Astyanax mexicanus: one gene and its partners. The protein of the gene in region 1 purifies or fractionates together with the protein of each later gene. This does not show direct contact. Links are inferred from orthologs where the notes say so. Each region holds a gene or a part of one and is shown in the gene's direction. Other genes may lie near its edges.

Evidence for each region. Proteins that work in one complex are often made in the same cells at the same time.
Region 2: the proteins of mecp2 (region 1) and cbx5 purify together in Homo sapiens (affinity purification with western blotting; 3 studies listed by BioGRID, with this or other methods). This does not show direct contact. The link is inferred for Astyanax mexicanus from reciprocal best matches to the Homo sapiens genes MECP2 and CBX5.
Region 3: the proteins of mecp2 (region 1) and ddx56 purify together in Homo sapiens (affinity purification with mass spectrometry; 3 studies listed by BioGRID and IntAct, with this or other methods). This does not show direct contact. The link is inferred for Astyanax mexicanus from reciprocal best matches to the Homo sapiens genes MECP2 and DDX56.

What each region holds. Positions count from the first base shown.
Region 1 is NC_064419.1:4,150,947-4,154,702, reverse strand, and holds the start of mecp2 (methyl-CpG-binding protein 2), read left to right. Parts: upstream 1-1,076; 5' UTR 1,077-1,220; coding exon 1,221-1,252; intron 1,253-3,756. UniProt on the Homo sapiens protein: Chromosomal protein that binds to methylated DNA. It can bind specifically to a single methyl-CpG pair. It is not influenced by sequences flanking the methyl-CpGs.
Region 2 is NC_064420.1:888,917-892,672, forward strand, and holds the start of cbx5 (chromobox protein homolog 5), read left to right. Parts: upstream 1-884; 5' UTR 885-1,007; intron 1,008-2,949; 5' UTR 2,950-3,015; intron 3,016-3,756. Other genes in the region: hnrnpa1b (heterogeneous nuclear ribonucleoprotein A1b), read right to left, coding at 219-230. UniProt on the Homo sapiens protein: Component of heterochromatin that recognizes and binds histone H3 tails methylated at 'Lys-9' (H3K9me), leading to epigenetic repression. In contrast, it is excluded from chromatin when 'Tyr-41' of histone H3 is phosphorylated (H3Y41ph).
Region 3 is NC_064427.1:2,363,846-2,367,601, forward strand, and holds the start of ddx56 (probable ATP-dependent RNA helicase DDX56), read left to right. Parts: upstream 1-1,070; 5' UTR 1,071-1,138; coding exon 1,139-1,195; intron 1,196-2,254; coding exon 2,255-2,416; intron 2,417-2,743; coding exon 2,744-2,901; intron 2,902-3,025; coding exon 3,026-3,196; intron 3,197-3,756. Other genes in the region: ccar2 (cell cycle and apoptosis regulator protein 2), read right to left, coding at 77-241. UniProt on the Homo sapiens protein: Nucleolar RNA helicase that plays a role in various biological processes including innate immunity, ribosome biogenesis or nucleolus organization. Plays an essential role in maintaining nucleolar integrity in planarian stem cells.

The sequences.
Region 1 (3,756 bases):
GGTTTTGTAGATGATGCTCACTCTTCTGGTTTACACTGATCGATACAGTGTGAAGCTTCTTGGTCTGATTATATTTCACTGATCTTAAAATTGGTGAAAATCAAATAAGCTAGTGTTCTGAAAGCATGCGGTTATGTTCCTATGTGCCATAAACGGATTAGAATCGGGTTAGAGAATTAGAAACTGACAGGAATAGGAGGTGAGCAGCAAGTAGGGCATAAAGAAAGCAAAATCATGTAGCCTGAAATTAAAAGTGTTTGTCTTAAGGTAGATAGTATAACAAGGTGTGTTCAAACTTTTGACTGGTAACGTATAATTTACAAGACAAAAGAATTAAAACCTACAGTACAAATCTTAACATTAATGCATAAATTAGGATAAAATATTAATGCAAACTCTGGAAGTAGTTCCCATCAACTGCTTGGCAGTCAAAATAATCTTCTAATTATCTAAACATCATAAACATCATAAGTTTTAAAATTTCACCATAATATTTATATCAGTGTACAGCAGGGTTACACCGTGAGCTCTACACTGTAAAACTCGAACAAAAACACAGTGCAAACAGATAATGTAGTTTAGCCTGTCACAATAATTGTATTATCAATGTCCTCAATATTTATTCCGAATTAGAATATTGTCTATTGTGTTTGTTCACATTCATAAAAGTGAACAGTATTTTAGCCAATGCTTCAAAAAAGTATATTATATAGTATATTTCCCAAATTATGATTAATCGCAAATTTGTTGTCGTTAAAAGTATATGATTGCTTTGCTGTGTTATTCTGTTATCATTATATTTAATGGTCATAAACTGACAATACTATTGTTAATTAATAATTAATCACAATAATTACTGGGACGATATATCAAGATATATCAATTTTATTACAAAATACAAAAAACACATAAACACCCTCCTATTCAGATGTAACAGTATGGTATTGCAGTGTGTGTGTGTCTGTGTGTGTACCCCCCTCTCTCACTCGGCCTAGACATACATTCCTCTCCGATGATTGCCTGCCCCCCCCCCAGTTCTCGCGAGAAGTGCTGCCGCGCAGAGCGGGACAGAGCGGCGGAGCGGCCGCGGAGGTCTCGCGAGATGTGCAGCAGAAGCGATGGTGTAGAAGAGGGAGTGGGGAGAGGGCGAGGGGCGCCCACAAAGATGTTGCGTGATTTTTTGGGGGAATTTATTTATTTAAATAATAAAATATAAAAAAATGGCCGCCGCGGAGAGCGGAGAGGAGAGACTGTAAGTGCAAAATTGCTGTTTGTTGAACGCCGTAAAAACCGCCGCGGAACCGCTGATTCAAATGTCGGGCGCCGCACAAAAAAGCGCCGCTGCTGTTGCGCAGTATTCATTGTAGCTGTACCGGAGCCGCTGTTGGGCTGCGAAATAAATAAATAAAATAGTAGTGCTGTTAGCTCGCCGCGCTAGCCCGTTAGCCAGCTAGCCAGAAAGGCGTTGAGAGGATACGTCACCTGTATTTCCCCCTCTGCCTTTCCCAGAATCGCGGGGGATACGAGCGAATAGCTACTTTCCGCGCGGCTGTTCGGTTAGCTAGCTTAGCTCAGTAGCGGGAGAGGAGCAGGAGGAGGAGGAGGTGTGTTTTGGGTCGTTTTCTGACCTCACTCAACTCTCTGCGAGATAACCTGGCTAGCTAACTAGCTACTACCTCCAAACCTCTCTCTTTATGTGTGTGTTCTCTCGTGAAATACTGTAGCTAAGCTAGCTAGTGCCTCTCTTGCTGCTTGTTGTCCTGCTTTCTCCTTCTTCTCTTTCTTTTTTTTGACGGTTCAAAACTGAACCCGTTCACCCCACCGTGCAGTTAGTTGAAAATAAGTTAGTTAGCCAGCCTGCTATCTATCTGTCATACCCAGAAACCTGCTTCTGCTGTTTTCATGCTTGTGCCTTCTCACAACAATGTTAGTAACTGAAAAACACACAAACTCGTGTCATAGTCGCTTTAGAGCACACACACACAAACACATGTATATGTTAGACAGGCTTGTCTTGTTTGTCTTGTTTGATGGTCAGTCAACTAGTTGGCTTAGTTAGCTTGATGTACAGTTACAGCTGTTGTCTCTGGTCAGTTGAGTTCAGATGGAGGTTTTGCGTTTTTTTCTTTGGGAGAGGATGAGCTGGGGTGAGTGCACTCACTCTGAGCACAAGACACTCCCATCTCATTTCAGATTTCAGGTTAGTTTCTGTACCAAATGGGCCACAACACAGTGCTGCTTTAGGTTGTCACATCTTGGTCATCAAAACATCACACAAACTCTTAGCCTACTACCTGCTCTCACATGGTGGCCTGGTTTGGGGTAATTTTCTGAAATCACTGGCTAGCTAGCTAACTAGCTCCTATCTCCAAACCTGTGCATGTGTGTTTTTTTGGGAACAATTTTTTTTTTTAAATGTGAAAACGGCACCGGTTCACCCCACTGTGCAGTTGAAAATAAGTTAGTTTGCCAGACTGCTATCTGTCATTTCCAGAAAGTTGCTTTTGCTTCTAATGTTTCCATGCTTGTGTCTTCTCACAGCAATAATACTAACTAAAAAACACATAAACTTGTGTTATAATGCCTTTACATTCACACACACACACTTGCTGACTGTTTCTGCTATTTTGTTTGATGGTCACTCACCTAATTTGATGTGCAGTTACAGCTCTCAGTTCAGGTCAGTGAGTACATATAACCTGAAATCATCCACATTTTTCGATGGTCATTCTTAGCAGCATAGTGTTTTTAACCCAACTAACTTCACATGCTATTGCATCTGTTGCTGCTACTGAGGTGGATACAGGTGACAGTTCAGTTGAGTTCAGTTCAGTTCAGTTGGTGGCTTTACTTTTTTGTGTTTTCTTTTTTTATGTGGCTTGAAAACTATACTAAGTTTGCTCATGCTTGCAAATTATGCATTTGGATGCTTTTTAAGAGAGATGAGGACACCCTTAACCTCCAAGCACATTCTTTTCCGAAGCTGTAGTAGTGACAAACATTACCCGAACGTTTGTTGTAGAACATCTAATGCTAGCTTCCACACATGCTGGCCTGATTCTGCGGTCTGTTTGTGTGCACATGCATGCAAATTACTTAGTTAATTAGTTAGGATGGTCTTGTTTGATTATAATTGAACTACCTTGACATACAGCTGTCAGTTCAGGACATTTCTGCTTAATGTTGTTACACCTTGGGAATCAGACTTTCACCCAATCTCGATGTAGTGCCTGCTTTTATATGGTGGCCTGGTTGTGCTTTCTATGGCTTTACCATCCAAGTTAGCAAATTTGTAGAGAAGATAGTTAAACAGTTGGAGGCTTCCATGGAAGGATGAGGACACTAGTATATGTAGTGCTTGCTTTCCGCACACACACACACATATGCTGGGCTTGCCTTTTTGTCTGTTTACATACATATGTTTGCAGGTTTTTTTTAGCTAGTTAGGCTGGTCTTGTTTGATGGTCACCAACAACTTGCCTGCTGTGCAGTTATAGATGTCAGTTTAGGTCATTTGAGTTCAGATGGAGGTTTTTCTTTGGGATTAATGAGCTGGAGTAAGTGCAAGTGCACAAGACACTTCCTTTTAAGTATATATGTGATTTAAGGGTAATTTGGTTGCGTTTCCGATTTCAGGAACACAACACATTGCTTCTTGGATGCATTCTGAAATACCCATCTACATATGTAGCTTCTTATATGTTCTCACATGTGGGACATCAGACTGATTTTCCTCTTGTCATACTTTCTCATATA
Region 2 (3,756 bases), on another chromosome or scaffold:
GAGCTAGCGGCAGCCCTTACACAAAAACAAAATGGCGGTAGCTACCCGCTAGCATTCGGCTAAATAAAGACAGCTAACCTTAGCCCATTGCCCTCCATTACAAATTATTACCCTGATCATTTAGCTCATAAACTCGATCCCCACATATATTAAACCCCATACACAACTCATAACCACATTAAACCCCGAATAAATGCGAAATAAACTGCTTAACTCACCTCGTTCGACATGTTGCACAGCAGCCCTCACCAAACTGCGCCACACACAATACGACGAAAACGCCGAGAAGGAGGAGAAAAAAAAAAACCCGGTCCATACCATATATCCACACCCCACCCACTTGTCCCGCCCCTGCGAGCTACGATTGGCTGAAAATTCCCGCCACGGTGCTACGCTTACGTTCTTTCATTTCGGATTGGCTTGGATCCGTGTCAATCTCGAGACTTCCACAGCGTAATATGCATATAGACAACTGCTCGGCAGCGAAGGCGTAAAACTGATTTGATTTAAAGACTCAATAAAATGTTATTCTGCTTTTATATTAAACGATTAACGTAGCCCACCTTTCATTTTCTTTTTTACAACAATTCACACGTATATATATGCACATATATCACATATATACGTCTGTGTTGTTCATTCAAAACCACACAGCTAGCTCGCTACAGTCATGGTTGCTTGCCACTCACTATACACGTTCCACATGTTTTAGCTATCTAAATTACATAATATCTAGCTAATATAGTAAATGTTTGTTTTTCTTAGACGATGGCTTTGTTGCACTAGTGACTGTGTTGAATTACTTGCTGCAGGTTTGCTTGTGTCTGCATCGTCTTGTGTGTGTGTGTGTATGTAGTCAGCTACCATTGTGTGTTTTTGGCGCGCTGCAGCTCGCGCACACACACACACGCAGACACACACATACATATCTAGTAGAGCTGGGGCTTCATACCTGCGAGCGAGAAGCGGTTTAACTACAAATCAAGCGCAGGAGAAGATAGATTTCTGTGAGTTTCATCCGATTTCGCTTGACATAATTAATAAGCTATATTTCTGCACGATTTTGACCGATCTGGGTGAAGTAGAGCTGCTGTTAAATTATGGAACAGGGCGATCAGCTTCGCTCGGTCCGTCGTTAAATCGGTTAGCTAGGAGAGTGTTTGCTAGCCGTGTCTCTGGTTAGTGGCTAATTTATATCATAATATGAATCATATTATACTTACTGCAATATATGTAGTGTTTTTGATGCTTAAATCGTGTGAGATTTGAGTCATTCCAGCGAAATAAGCAGTGTTTTAACGTTTTAAGCAGTAATTATGGTAAACTATTTGGATAGCCAACACTTGCTAAGCTAAAGCTAGGCGCCATGTTTTTTTTTTCGCAGCGCCGCAGCATTTTAGTTAGCGTTAGCTATCAGCTTGGTTTAATTTATGAACTCATCATTCTTTCACATTTTAATTTAAATAAATTATTTTTATATCACGTTTAGCTTTATATATCTTAACTACTGGCGTTTGGGTAGCTAGTTAGCTGTTGTTTTTGTAGAAGACACGATAAGTTATTGCGTTAGCTTAGCTTAGCTAGCTAACTTATAGGGTTAACCTGGCGTTAGCTAAGCTAGGTAGCTAACACTAGCTATCTTCCAAAACCCCGGCATTGTAGCTAACACTGGCTAAGCTGAATATATAGTTAACCTTGCATTTTTATGATGGAAATCGATATCGTGCATTATTTTTACGCCAAATTAAGCTTTTTTGGGCGTTTTAAGCACAAGGTTTCACCGTGTGTTCGTTTTAAGTATGCTGTCTAGCTAGCAAGGTTAACCTAGTTAGGCTAGCTTAGCTAAGCTATTGACAATGCCATTGGTATAGTGAGCTGCTGGCCTTAAAATGATCTTCGCAAAAATGTTTACTAACCAGATTTCAATCGTGTATATGTTTTAAACGTCCAGGAACCGGCATAATCAATCAAATATGCTTGTATACACGTTTTAAACCATATAACGACAGTAGCAAGCTGTTGTGCTAGCTGAGTTAGCAGCTCCGTGTTGCAGCCATTGGGTTTCAGTAGGTAACCTTATAGATGTAGGTTTGGTAGGTAACCTTGCTGTCTAAACCATTCAACTAACTATTTTATCTATTTATCTGTATAGTAATTATTAAAGTCGTGTACTTAAACGTTAATTTCTGTGTTTTCAGACTGAATGACAGGTAGTTGCTTACATTTGAAGGTAGCTAGCTTAGCTATCACCGATACTACATAAGTTACAGCTCTAGAAAAAATAAAGCAAGCACTTCAGTTTCTGAATCAGTTTCTCTGATTTTGCTATTTAAAGGTTTATGTTTGAGTAAAATGAACATTGTTGTTTTCTTCTATTATTATAGTAGTATTGCATACTACAGACAACATTTCTCCCAAAATACAAATATAAATATTGTTATTTAAAATGAGAAAATAGACCTCAAATAATTAAAAGAAAACCAACAAGTTCATATTCATAAAGTTTTAAGAGTTCAGAAATCAACATTTGGTGGAATAACCCTGTTTTTTTAATCACAGTTTTCATGCATCTTGGCATCATGTCCTCCTCCACCAGTCTTACACACTGCTTTTGGATAAATTTGGATAAAATCAAGCAGTTCAGCTGGAGATCATCCGTCTTCCACTTGATTATATTCCAGAGGGTTTCAATTTGGTAAAATCAAAGCAATCATTTTTATGTAGTCTCTTGTTTTTTCAGAGCTGTATATTAATGTATTTTTCATTCATTCTGTAAGTCAGGTAAAGTAAGTCAGGTGTGTTAAAGTGTCATTTTTAATACACTTGAAGTATACTCTAAATGTACTATACACGTACACCTATTCTGTGCACCTTAATGTCCCTATAAATGTTTTCTATCAACACAATGTTTAATTTAAAGCACTTCTAACTTCTCTGTTTTATATTCAGGGGAGGGCAGGCTGCCTGCTGTGGCTTTTCCTTAGTTTTGAGCCTGATCTGCAGTCCCAGAGAAAGGTAAGCACTAAAATATGTTGGCATTAGTGGCATCTGTATAGTATCACACAAGTTTACTGTTCTACTCTTCTTAAAAAATAACAACACTGTCCATTAAACAAAAAATAAATACATGTGTCAAAACACCTGAAAAACTATTTCAATTGATTACCTATTATTTCCATGTTATCTTAAGTCATCCCTATAACATTTCACTTTATGTGGATGGCAAAAACTTACTGAATATGAGATTTTAATTTCATTTAGAAAATACAGGACATTCACCACTTATCTCAGTACAAGTTGAAATTCACAAAAACACTAAATTTCATATACAGATATATTTATTCAGTAAAAGTAGCTGCTGTGACCCCTCAAAGACGCCTCGTTAGATTCTGTGCCATCTCTCACCTCCTTATTCTCATGTAAAATTGCACATTTACATGACATTGCACTTAACATTTTAAGGCAGTGGTTGATACTGTGAATTGACTTCATTTGATTGGTGATGTGAAACATTGCTCTTTTGTGTTTTTGTTTGCGGATCAGTTTAGCAGTATAACTTTAAATATACATCACAACATAGACAGAAGCAAAACTCATTTTCAGAGGAAATTGGTGAACATATCTGAAGTTTCTCTCAGTAATAATGACACCCGACACAATAGTCAATAAATTATATGCAGCATAATAATCAGAATTAAAGATACAACCATAAACAAGCTTTTATGAAATTCGTTCTGCAGTGCAGTTATTACTAAT
Region 3 (3,756 bases), on another chromosome or scaffold:
CTACAGCTGTTTATTCTCTCCTTAAACGTTATTTATTCTGTTAATATGATGTTTTAGTGTTTAATCGCAGGCTCACCTCAGGTTTGTGTGTAGCGTTTTGTGGTCTTCGTCGTCTGCTGCTGGGGCGGTACTGCGGCAGGGTGACACCGCCAGGGCGCAGTGCTGCTGCCACCTCGCGGCCGGAGCGGAGCTGCGCTAAAGTCGCAGCATGATCTGCCGCGGTTCTGGATCTACTGATCATTAGAATAAATAAAAAAATAATTAATTAATTAAAATAAACAAAATAAATGAATAATAATACAGCGCTTGGTCAAAATAGTGCAAATGTTTTACGCCACAGGAGAGCAAAACCACTTCTTGTAGGGCTGGTGAAAAATAATGAATCTCAGTATTATTTAAATGTAGGAATTACTATTACTCAATTACTGTTTAGAGCAGTTCAAATTCAAATTCAAAACTTACTTTTTTAAATTAGTAAACAGGCAGCACCCTTTAAAGTGATGCACAAGCACACGTTTCCTAAGGATTGTTTTATGAGATGGTACATCATTATTATGAGATAGTAAGTCATAATAATGAGATACTAAGATGTCTGTGGGTATTATCATAATTATGACTTAGTATCATTTAATAATAACTTACTAGTGGCAGAACTAGTGAATGGAACTGCAATATGTTAACATATAATAATTTCAAGAATATAAGAATACAACAAAAAAATACAAGCAATACAAAAAAATATGTTCTTTAGAGTATGATTAATTCCAAATTTCTTGTTTTTCAAAAGGGTATGAATCCTTTGTTATGCTATTCCATTAGCATTATGTCAGTTGCACTTAAAATGATAACAATATTGTTTAGCACAATAATTTCTGGGACAATAAATCGTCCACACCAATATTGTGACAGGGCTAGGAAAAAAATAACTATATATCTATCATTAGAACATATCATGGAATGATTAATAACCCCAGACTAATAAAATTGTTTTTTTTTAAAATATTTTTTAAAGGACTAATGTTATGTTCTGTATGTGTAACTGCGCAGCGCCACCAGGCGGGGTCGCTGTTTGTTTCTCTGCCGCGTCTCGAGCCTCATTACTCCGCTCCTCGCGGACCCACGTGGGCAGGAGAGAAAGATGGCAGACGACAGGCTCTGTTTCCACGAGATGGGTTTGGATGATCGTCTTTTAAAGGTATTTATCTCTGTCTGATCAACGCGGTACCGGTGTGTGAAATGCGGATGTGTGTAAACAGATAATACCGTAATAAAAACGTAATAATCAGCTTAAATTCAGCCTTTAATCACCGCGCTGTTTACTGCACCATGTCCGAGAACAGAGGCGCAGAGCCAATATTCCCAATAAAAGCAGAAATCTTCAGTTTAATCGATTTCTCGTAAAGATATACCCCTCCAATCCATAAATAATAAATGATTAAACATTTTAGGTTATGTATTTATGCTTCTGTAAAGTGTTTGTGTTGTGTAATCATACTTACAGCGCCAGTACTCTACCAGAATATTAAAGTAAACATAGGTTTGTCACAATAACACATAACTGTTTTTGTGTTGATAATATATTGTCTCATAAATATTGTCGTTAAATGATAATAATGTCAATTTAAGACAAATGTAACCCCCAGAAATATTGCTAGTGTAATAGCATAATAATACAATGACAGGTGTAATAATCAGTGTAAGAGTAATGAGCTTTTAATTGTGAATATTATACAGGCTTTGTAATTAAAGTATCCTAAAAGAAAATATAAAATCAGAAATTTAATGAGCGATATAAAGGTCAGCAAAAATTAGAAGTCCACATATTGTACAATAATCAATAATGTAATTACTAAGACAGACCTACACCTTATTTAATAATAATAAAAAAAGTCCAGCATAAAAAACAGTGTTTTAAAAATGTTTTCATCCACACAAGTTTAATAACACTTCTTGTAGGACTGAATCGTATTGTAAAAACGTTTTAACTTTTAATATAAGTCTATTTCAAGTTACTTTGGAACACTTCTATTTGTAAATTATTTATGAAAGTTTAATACAATAGAAAAAAAACAAGTCTTTGTATGTTTTTGATAGCGTTAAACATTGTAAAAAGCATTACATGAATTGGCTAAAGTAGAATATATCTATTTAAAGTTCTGAAAAGCTTAGTATTTCATTACAAGTATATAAATTCAGCATTTATAATATATTGTAGCATTCTCACTGCCTTTACGTGTTCCTTTAACCCTGTCAGGCGATCGCAGACCTGGGCTGGGCTCAGCCGACCCTCATTCAGGAGAAAGCCGTTCCTCTGGCTCTGGAGGGAAAGGATCTTTTGGCCAGAGCTCGAACCGGTTCAGGAAAAACAGCGGCTTACGCCATTCCTGTTATCCAGCAGATCCTCACCTCTAAACAGGTAATACCTGACCATGTGACTTGTGACACTTTCCCTTTCCAGATGATTATACCAATACCTGCAGAGCCTATCAAATAAAATTATCAAATAAATACACATATATTACGAATTTTAAAACATTTTACAATCTGAGCTGACTTCAAAAAATGTACTAAATGGATATTAAAATTCAAAATAAATCTGTATGTATTTTTATGGAGCAGGCCGTGCCCTGATAATCCACCAGAGGGTGGTTTCTACTTTCTGTAATAAATTATTATTTATTTGTCATTTTATTTGAGATAATAAGTTTTGATCAATGGCTGTCTTTTTTTTGTTGTGTGTTAGACTGTGCAGGGGGAGCAGGCGGTCAGAGCTCTGATTCTGGTTCCTACTAAAGAACTGGGACATCAGGTGCAGACAATGATCCGGCAGCTCACTGCATACTGCGCTAAAGATGTTCGGGTGGCAGATATCTCAGGAAAAACTGAATTATCTGCACAGAAGTGAGAACACTTTTAATAATACCATTGATTAGAATAATGTGATCAATTTGGTGCTCGGGATGTAGATGTATAGTTGATAACTGTGATAATTGTGTGCATTTTTATGCGTGTTTTTGTACTTTAGGCCCATTCTAATGGAAAAGCCTGATATTGTGGTGGGAACTCCATCGCGAGTGCAGGTCCACATTTCTGCTCAGAACCTGGTGCTGCACTCGTCTCTGGAGATGCTGGTCATTGATGAGGCTGATCTTCTGTTCTCTTTCGGTTTTGAGGCTGATCTTAAAAACCTCATCTGGTGAGTGTTTCAGACTTTATTATTATACAACAATTAACAGTATTTATTTATTGTATTGGAGACTTATTGGACACTAGACAGGGGCTTATGTGTCATGCTGTGCACCACAATGTAGACATTCGCTTTCATGTGATTGGATGAGTAAAGATATTTCTATCTCGTTAACACTATATCACCACTGTTAAACATGGTGGTGGTAGCAGCAGCAACATGTTGTGATGTTGTTTTAGCTTGTGGAATAAATGTTTCTTTACCATAACATTAGAAAAATTTGGACACAGTTATGGAGCATGCTTAAATGTCAGAAAACCAAAACATTTACTGTATTTTTTGCACTATAATGTGCACCTAAAATTCTTAAATTTTCCCAAAATTGTCAGAGTAAAGAAAAAAATAATTGTATGTATAGATTTTACTAGGAGCAGTAAAGCCACTCTGCTGAAGTACAGAGTTATACAGGAGTTTCAGTTTAGTTTCTTCAGCACCGAGACTGAAGCAGTATTAGCATTAGCTGCTAGCCTTGATAAGTGCTAGCTCTTTTGCTGTTCAGATAAACAGTT